2 linked regions of the Schizosaccharomyces pombe genome follow. The protein of the gene in region 1 interacts with the protein of each later gene in a biochemical or structural test. Each region holds a gene or a part of one and is shown in the gene's direction. Other genes may lie near its edges. The genes, in order: byr4 and plo1.

Region 1 (4,890 bases):
ATCGACAGCTTCGAGACCAGCAACAATTTCTTGCTGAACATCGAGAATAAGCTTCTCCATCTGCTTGCCAATAGGCTCAACGGTAATGTCAGACATCTTTTTATTTACTTTACGGATTTGCTCAAAATGTCCAAAAAAAAAAGTAACCAAAATGGTATTTAAGATATGATACAACCGATTGGATGAATTGGTATTAACACAAGTGAAGAATCAAAACACTGTTCAACTTGCGAATTAAATTTACAACTTGGTTGTTTTGTTTTCACAAAAACACTGTGCCAGCAGCGAATGGGATTAGGGGGATTTATATCAAAAAATAGACTAAATTCAGATATTTAAAAATCGAACGATTTCTGGACAGTCACGACCGTAATGGCTCGTTTTTCTCGTAAGGTTAAGAACACAATCCGGATTCCACGATCTGAGTGTTTCGTTACTGCACCTTGTAGTGCGATATATAGATTCCTTCGATGGAAAACAATTATTAGTTTTATATGAATTTGATTAGGATGATGTTAAACATCCTTTTCTTTGACTTATTATTAGACTATCTGAAAAATGGAGTTACTTCTCGTCTATGAGAAATGTTTGTAAGTTGCTTCGCTACTAGCAAGCAATAATGTTTTTAACTGCTTGGTTTACAGAAAAGCACAAGAGTATAAGACAGATGCCATGCTTACTTTTTCAACTTGTTCGATTTACCATTTCTTAAGTACAAACATTAATAAGATCATCAACCTATATTTTTTATGAACTTTACATGAATAATTACATGATTAAATCACTGAAATTATATGAAACTATAGACAGAATTGATGCTAAAAATAATTTAGGAAAAATATGAATAGCGCGATCGCATAGGGGTAAAAACATGATTATGTTTCATACTTGGATTTACTAATGAAGAACGGTTTCTCATACCTATGAATTGAAGAGTTAATTTGTTCAACTTTACCATTGTTGATTTCAATAACTTTTTAGATGTAAAAAAATAAACTAAAATAAAACAAAGACGTTTCTTTTGTTATAAACTAATAGATTTACTTTTTAACCTATAGTTTAATCGTTTTTTTTTTTTTTTTTTTTTGTAATTTATCTAAACTCGTATATGAAAATAGTATGTATTTTAGAAATTATACGAAGAATCTAATAAAAAAAGATTCCTTAAAATGTATTTCATATATACTTGAACGAATATGTAGATTCCATAAACAGAATTAAATTGTAAATGGGCATAAATTTCAGAGAAAGCAATTGTTTATAATAATTTAAACGTTCAAAGAAAAATATATATATTTTCGTGGAGGAAAATAAAATTCTAAGACGAATGAATTTGCTAATACGAGTGACGATTAAACATACTATTTATTGCTTCACCTACTAACCTTCGTTGTAATTTATCTACTTTTTAAAAAACATTAACTCGTAGTTGCATGCTAATTAGATTACCTAGATTTTTTTAAGGTGAGGTGCAGCTATGCATTTTGGCAATCACATATGGTTAAGTATTTTACTATGATTAATCTAGCAAAAATAAATATGACTGAAAGATACCAAAAAAAACTATTTTTTTTTTAGGTTTACACAAGCAAATAGTAGATGCTTTATTTTTCACCTTATTAAAAATTGATTTCTCGTAAAGTACTGAAACCAAAGTACGTAAATTGATCAAGTTGGTGTTTACACTTATACCTCTAGCTCAACCTCCGTCTCTTTCAACAATATACCGCTAACCCAGATTCCTTGATTTTGTCATTGAAATAAGTTAAATTCTTTTTTTTGCTTTCTATACAAAACAAAATTTCATTGTATCTCTGAAAGCATCATCATAATCATATTCCTGAAGTCCTTTTGAATTGCTGTTCATAACTTATTACTTCTCGAAGCTGGGTTTGAAAGCGTAAATATTTACAGTGGTTACTTCTTTGCAAAATTAGTGACCATCCTTTTTCTCTCTCACTTTCTTTTTCTTTGAAAATCAAATTTAGGGTTTTCAGTTTTGGGTGAATACGGTTAGTAATCATTCTATGCGTTTTGCATCCAATTTCTTTTCTTAGCAAAGCCGTTTTAGTATACGTTTATTTTGATTGAATGACTGAAGTTGAATGCTGGGACGATGATCCTGATTTTGCTTCCGACGTCGATAATGCTAGCCTATTTACTCAATCCATAGCTACCACTAGTGCTAGTACGAGTGTGGATGATGGGTTCTCGTTTGACGACTCTATTAGTCGTCTTAATAGCCTTTCAATTTCTGATGTACCAAGCGCTCATTCTCGTGTCGAACAATGGAATCAACAAGTACATAATTTAAACCATGAACTGTCTTCCAACAAGAACCGAATTTCTTCCAATGTAGAAGGCTATGAAGATGATTTTTCGTTCGATGAAGAAGGTGAAGAAGGTAATAATGAGTTTAATACACTTCGTCCCAATAAATACCAAGATGCCGATGTTGATGAATTCAATACTATTAGAGCATCTGAAACTGCTTCTCAAAGACCTCCAATTCCATTCTCTAGTGATACTCTTAAGAAAACATATCTTTCAAGTGAAAATGATGCTCGGTATCCCAGTGTTTCGGACTCCCCTTATTGTGAATCGGAAGGCTTTTCTTCATTTGAAGATGATTTTGAAATAGACCCAGATACCGACCTAAACAGTATTTTGCACAGAAAACAAAATAGGATGGATCCAAAAGCTTCCTTTTCCAGCGTAGAACAGTCTTCGCTTCGTACGCCTTCCTCTGCGCATAATGACGACGGCTTTTGGGATGATTTTGATATTGACTTTAATAACGAAACAGAATCGATCTTTCGGAAAAAGATTCGATCTCCAAATACCATCAACCAAAAGCATCCTTATATTTCCTCCACAATTTCTTATCAACCTAATGTGCATCAGGATGCAAAATATTATCCCCTTTGTAAAGACATATTTCCTTCACTCGCTAATGAAAACCCTCATTCTGATAACCCAAACCTAAAGTATTCTTCGAAAACACTTTCGAAAAGGGATACGTCTTCTCATTATCCAGAAACGTTGAAGGCTTCGAGTAAACATTCTTCTCCCGTGAAGGGAAATTCTTCTATAAGCTCCACATGGACTCCCTCGAATTTGAAGATCTATCATTCGAAAAATTCGATGGGTTTGATGGATTTGGACGCTTTGAAGACAGTTGCAAGTAATTCTAAATACAGAACAAAGCCTAAAAATTGCAAGACTTACGGAGATGGTACAGAACTTGATACTTTAGATGAATTACCAGTTGATTATGAATTTGAGCTTAAATTGAGAAAAAAGCAAACTACCAAAGTTTCCGGAACGCCTAAAAGTAAACACGCAGGTTCAACTCAAGAATGGCATTCACATACTACCCCTAGATCTACTTCGAAACATGAGAATAATTTAAATAATATAACTAATTCAGCAAAAAATGAGCATATTCGGTCTCAAAGGCAACACAAAACTCATGCCGCCCCTTCTAAAGAGTTAACAAAAGAATCGCTTTCCAATGATCAATTGAGCGTCAAAGAAAAACGCAGACACCATAAAAAGGCACCTACTTTAATACAAAATTTAAATTCCCCTAGAACCCCAAAAATTGTTGGAAAAATGCGATATAATCCCACAAAACATTGCTGGGAAGGAAACGATTATGCAATTAGAGATTTTGATACCCCTATCTCGCCTAGCCGTCCAGCATTAATTTCCAACATTTCTACAAAAAAAGGAATCCAGGTTGTCGGAAATATGGTATATGACCCTACAAGGTTACGATGGATTGATAATTCGATTTCTGGTCAAGAAGCGGAAGATCCCTTTAGCGGGTTTGATGATCTTGAGGATACAGACTCCACCTCGCAGTACTTGAACGAAAATTCAGGTAGCTTTAATGGTAGCATAAACTCAATAATCAATTTTCCAGATATGAGTGAAATATACGATGTCGGCCCAGAGTTTGAAAAAAAGCAATTTAGCGAAGATATTCAATGGCGAAAGAGAATTGATGGCTGGTTTTTTTCATTTAAAAACGATGACAGGTCACGACTATGGGAGCTTTATAATATACTTAATGCCGAACAATAAACAAGGTTTTGTCTTTACCTTGCGAATGTTTATATATAATTATACGAATGCTTTTGTTTATCGCAGATTTGATCTTTTTGTACATAGCTTAATACACTTCGAAGATTTTTCATTTTGTTTGCAAATAGATGTATAAGATGTACAACAATGATACAAATGTAATACTAATGTGACACCCAGACAAACTAGATTGTTTGAACAAGACAATACAAAGAAAATAATCAATTAAATTTGGACCGAATACATTATACCCTTAAATACCGTCTGTAATATAGAAACCATTTTTGCCATCATTATAATACTTGTAAGCGTCTTTTAACACATTATTGGGGTTGCCAAGGAGGTTGTGAGACATACCCAGAAGAGTAATTAGGATCCATATATGGATAGCCGGGATTATATGGGTTGGTAGGGGGAGGAACGGTACTAGGATTACCATGCCAGTCATTTCCTGAATCAAAATGCCTTTCACCATGGTGAATGGGTGGACCTCCCCTATATGGTTTACGACCCCGGAATCGCTCATCACGACGCATAGCAAAATCTTTTCCTCTTTTACTAATTGCCTTAGAACTTATTCCTAATCCAATTTCAATATCAGGTTCATCCAAAGCGATACCAGGAGTAATCGGAAGGCCACCCGTGCCGCCATATTCTGCAGTTACAAGCCAGGTACGATCGGCATCCGTCAACAAACGGATTGGGATAACGCTGATTCCTGTGGAAAAGTCAGAGCACTCTCGAGGTCCAAATCCTACACCCCATTTAGTACGAATAGTAGTATCAGCAAAAGGGACATTT
Region 2 (5,307 bases), 1.2 Mb from region 1:
AACATATACTCTCGAGGAAGGGCTAGGTTTACCATCAAAAAGTATATACAAGAAAACTATTAAGCTTGTTTATACCAGTGAGCATGCAGAGGAAATGTTTAAGGCCTTGGAAAGAATGCCTTGCCTCACATTACCATTGGTAATCAGCAGATTAGAAGAAAAAAACGAAGAGTGGAAGTCTGTTAAAAGAAGTCTTCAACCTGGATGGCGAAGTATTGAGTTTAAAAATTACGATAAGAGCTTAGATTCACAATGCGTTTATTTTAAGGCAAGAGATAAGAAGAATGTATCTTCAAAGTTTCTCTTAGCAGAAGCCGACATTCTACGATCGCAAGCGAAGCTCCATTTTCCTTTGCGAAGTAGATCAGCTTTCGAATTTTCTTTTGTATATGACAACGAAATAGTACTTTTTGATACTTGTTATATGGTATGCACATACATTGTATGTAACTCTCCCTCTGGTTTAAAGAAAGTTGAGCATTTTTTCAAGAATATATTGCCTTTACATTTTGGTCTTGAAAAGGATAAATTTTCGATATTCCTGGATCAAGTTTTTCGTGGTCCTGATTACGATGTGAATGCCCCGAATATAGTTGGTAACAAGCCTGTACGTCGGAAAAGATCTAATTCTATAACCCAGTTGACGGAATTTGTAAAACAACCTAAAATCAATGGTCAACGCGAAAGTCGTTCAGCTGCAGCTGCTCGCAAAAAAGAAGAATCCGGTAACAAATCACAATCTAACTCTCAAAACTCTTTAAGTGATGAATCTGGAAACGTAACGCCGGTTTCTAAGAAACAGCTTTCACAACCTGCTGCAGCCATTAAAGCCAGTCTCAAATATCCAAGTCATCCAGATAGTCTTTTGGAACATCAAGATCATGCTGGTGATACGGAGAATGAAATGCATGACGACGTCGATAAAGAACAGTTTGGATATTCTTCTATGTACGTATTTTTTAGACTTTTTAACTTATTATACGAAAGGCTTTATGAGCTTCAGCGTTTGGAGGATCAAGTGTCCATTATCCAACAGCGTATAATACCAAACCCAGTATCTCAAAAACAAAAGATTTGGCGCGATAGGTGGAATGATCTTTCAGATGTCCCTGATGAAAAAACTCATTACGAAAATACTTATGTGATGATTCTTCGATTAATATATGGGATAGTTGATCAAAGTGCCTTCGAGGACTATCTGCGGTTTTATTATGGCAATAAAGCCTATAAAATATATACTATTGATAAACTCGTTTGGTCTGCTGCTAAACAAGTCCACCACATCGTTTCCGATGGAAAATACAAATTCGTTACTAGTTTAGTCGAACAAAATAGTTCTGCTTCGCCTAAGAAGAATTATGATGACTTTCTTTATCGCTTGGAAATTGAAAAGCTTTTGAATCCTGATGAAATTTTGTTTCGATTTTGTTGGATAAACAAATTTAAATCATTTGGAATCAAAATAATGAAGCGAGCGAATCTTATTGTGGATCAAAGTTTGGATACACAGAGACGAGTTTGGAAAAAATATGTTCAAAATTATCGTATACAAAAACTTACTGAAGAAATATCTTATAAAAATTATCGTTGTCCCTTTCTTTGCAGAAATATAGAGAAAGAAAGAACAGTTGAGCAATTGGTTTCACGCCTTCAAACAAAGTTATTAAGATCTGCAGAATTGGTTTCCGGATTGCAAGCAAAATTATGTTTAGACTCGTTTAAATTGCTCTACTTACCACGCACAGAAGATTCTTACATAGATGCATCTTACCTGCGCCTTAGAGATACCGACTTCCTTGATTGCCAGAATAAAAGAAAACAGCGTTGGAGAAATCGATGGGAATCGTTATTAAAATCGGTTAGGGGAACTTCTGACAACACGGCAGAGGTGAATTTTGATGCTGACATTAATGCACTATTTATCCCATAATGATTTTAATGCAGTCGACCTACCTATTGATCATATTTACTTAAATACAATTTGACTTTAATAGTTTTATATTACTTTGTTAACATAACTTATCTTTCTAGGTATTTTATAATTTCAAGGATTTATGTATAGTACGAATTTACTGAAATTTTTGCACATAAGCTTTGTATTAAATTTTCTAAAGCCGTACTTCTGTAATTACTACATAAAATATTACAATGCACAGATTTTTATTTACAAACAAGCGGTTGTCGTAGCAACCACTTTGTTTACCCTCAAAAGTTACCACCTGCGTTTTGTTAGAAACAAATACCAAATGGCGAGTGTTGCAATTAAAGAGCCCAAAACTGCTATAACCCCGAAGAAGAAGTCCAAAGCCTCTCGTCTTTGCTTTACTCCGCCAACTAATCTTCATAATAATAAAAAAAATATATTCTACACTCGCTACGATTGCATTGGTGAAGGCGGCTTTGCGAGATGTTTTCGAGTCAAAGATAATTATGGAAATATTTACGCTGCTAAAGTTATTGCTAAAAGGTCACTACAAAATGATAAAACAAAGCTGAAGCTCTTTGGAGAAATAAAGGTGCACCAATCCATGAGTCATCCAAACATCGTAGGATTTATAGATTGTTTTGAAGATTCGACGAATATTTACTTAATTTTGGAGCTTTGTGAACATAAATCTTTAATGGAACTTTTACGTAAGCGAAAACAATTAACTGAGCCAGAGGTTCGGTATTTAATGATGCAAATTTTGGGAGCTTTGAAATATATGCATAAAAAGAGAGTCATTCATAGAGATTTAAAGCTTGGAAATATTATGCTTGATGAGAGTAACAATGTAAAAATTGGTGATTTTGGGCTTGCCGCGCTTTTAATGGATGACGAAGAACGTAAAATGACTATCTGTGGTACACCGAACTACATCGCACCTGAAATTTTGTTCAATTCAAAAGAAGGACATTCATTTGAAGTTGATCTTTGGAGTGCTGGAGTAGTCATGTATGCCCTCTTGATTGGAAAGCCACCCTTCCAGGATAAAGAGGTAAAGACAATTTATAGGAAGATAAAAGCCAACTCATATAGTTTTCCTTCAAATGTCGACATATCTGCAGAAGCAAAAGATTTAATTTCTTCTCTTCTGACACATGATCCAAGCATTCGTCCCAGTATTGACGATATTGTTGACCATGAATTCTTTCACACTGGCTATATGGCTTCTACACTTCCAGATGAAATTTTACATTCAATGCCTATATGGCCTTCTTCCCAATCAAAATCAAGCTTTCAGAGAAACCTGGACTTCGTTGCCTCTGCTTCCGGAGTAGGCTTTGGAAATTCAGCAGGTGTAGAAAAGAATAAACCTTATGCACTTCGAACAGATGAAGTTGATAATGATCGAATATTACCAAGTGTTTTAAGTCCAAGGGACCGTGTCAACCCTGTTATGAAAATAGGACCGGAAACCAAACCTGTACCATCAAAGCTCTCTACAGCCCTCCATGCAGCTCGTAAATCCACTGATGGAAGTTTAGGCTCAAGAGTTAAAGTTTTGAGAGAAGAATCACAATCATTTGTTCCAACTAAGAGCGCTGTCACTGAACAAGTTGAACCTATTCAATTAATTCGGTCTTTATCTGCAAATACAGTTTCAAGACTTTCTAAGGTTGGAAATATGAAATCAGACATTTGGATCAGCGTAAAGAAGACAGCTCTTAAAATCGGGATGGCATTGGAAGCACATACACACGCTTTAACTTCAGAGGATGCTGACTCTGAGCCCGTTCTTTTTATTACAAAGTGGGTTGATTATTCCAACAAATATGGTTTAGGATACCAGCTATCCGATGAATCGGTTGGCGTACACTTTAATGATGATACATCCTTGCTTTTTTCAGCTGATGAGGAGGTTGTCGAGTATGCTTTACATCCTAAAGATACAGAAATTAAGCCATATATTTATCCTGCTTCCAAAGTTCCTGAATCTATAAGAAGTAAACTTCAGCTTTTAAAGCACTTTAAAAGCTATATGGGACAAAATCTTTCGAAGGCTGTGCAGGATGAGAGTTTTGAAAAACCCAAAAACTCAACTTCCAATACCATGCTTTTCATGCAGCATTATCTTCGTACGCGTCAAGCTATAATGTTTAGATTAAGTAACGGAATTTTTCAGTTCAATTTCCTGGATCATCGAAAAGTTGTTATTTCCTCTACCGCACGGAAGATCATTGTATTAGATAAAGAGCGAGAGAGAGTGGAATTGCCTTTGCAAGAAGCATCCGCATTTTCAGAAGACTTGAGATCTCGCTTAAAGTATATTCGCGAGACGTTGGAATCGTGGGCGTCGAAAATGGAAGTGAGTTAATAATACCGTTAATCTATACTTGGGCGTTAAGTTACTATGCTGTCTATTTTTCCATATTTCACATCCTCATTTTTGTACTATTCATCCATTCAATTCAGTTTTATGTTAATGTTTTACTAATTCTTTTTTTATTATTTCTTTCCCTCAGATACATCTTTTAAACGCAGGAGCTCTTGACGAATAAGTTATAAACTTAAATTATAGCTGCAAATATCAGCTTAATCCCTTTTCAAAATTTTTTATTTTTTGCTTTTAAATTGATCGCTGCAAATTCTGTCTTAAGGCGACACTTATTTATCTAATCAAAAGGATTCACAAATCTCAATGTTCCAAGTGTTATCCAAAATGTTAGACTAGTCACAGCTATGTTAATTGATTTTTATTCTCTCGCTGTAACTGAAATCCTTTTCACAGATTAGATACATGTTTTGCTAATTATGTCAGTAAAATGTGTACAGTTGAGTTCAATCTGCTGCATATTAAGAATCACAGACTTTGTAACACCAAATTAAATTAATTAATAGTAGCATTATTTATTGTTTACAAGGCATTAATTTATACTTCACTAAGTATATCAAAAGAGCAATAGTACTGGTTTTTACTAGCAACTGTCACGTTGAATCCAAATAGCAGGAACATTTTTATAATAAATAGGCTGATGCGATAAAAGAACTGTTTGCTTTTAAAGTACTTATAAACTAATTCCAGCAATACATAATTAGTAAATAAAATGCTTTCTCTACCTACGCTATGCTATGTTAATAGCGATTGAGGAAATTACCTAACGGACAATACACTAATTAGTTTAACGAATATGAAGCTTTGCGTAGCATGCGTTAAATCTCTTTACTATTTCATAAACAAGCCGAGTCAAATTGATGAAGTATCCAAGAACGCATATCCAATTCCCCAGTATGCTTCGGAATCGTTTGTTTAAAACCCCACATCAGACTGGTAAGGATATTAATGCTTTTTCAAATTGCTCTTCAATTTGTACTAACGTTTTGTA

What was found.
Region 2: of the proteins of byr4 (region 1) and plo1, one has a biochemical effect on the other in vitro, tested with the Schizosaccharomyces pombe proteins (one study listed by BioGRID).

The regions. Positions count from the first base shown.
Region 1 is NC_003424.3:961,636-966,525, reverse strand, and holds byr4 (two-component GAP Byr4), read left to right. Parts: upstream 1-1,717; 5' UTR 1,718-2,091; coding exon 2,092-4,089; 3' UTR 4,090-4,212; downstream 4,213-4,890. Other genes in the region: hem13 (coproporphyrinogen III oxidase), read right to left, coding at 1-96; poly(A)site selection protein Seb1, read right to left, coding at 4,413-4,890. UniProt on the Schizosaccharomyces pombe protein: Has an essential role in ensuring cytokinesis and septation occur only once during mitosis. It does so by interacting with the ras1 signaling pathways, thereby suppressing them.
Region 2 is NC_003424.3:2,161,994-2,167,300, forward strand, and holds plo1 (Polo kinase Plo1), read left to right. Parts: upstream 1-2,237; 5' UTR 2,238-2,246; coding exon 2,247-4,298; 3' UTR 4,299-4,772; downstream 4,773-5,307. Other genes in the region: Clr6 histone deacetylase complex subunit Pst2, read left to right, coding at 1-1,930; putative potassium ion transporter Mdm28, read left to right, coding at 5,213-5,252.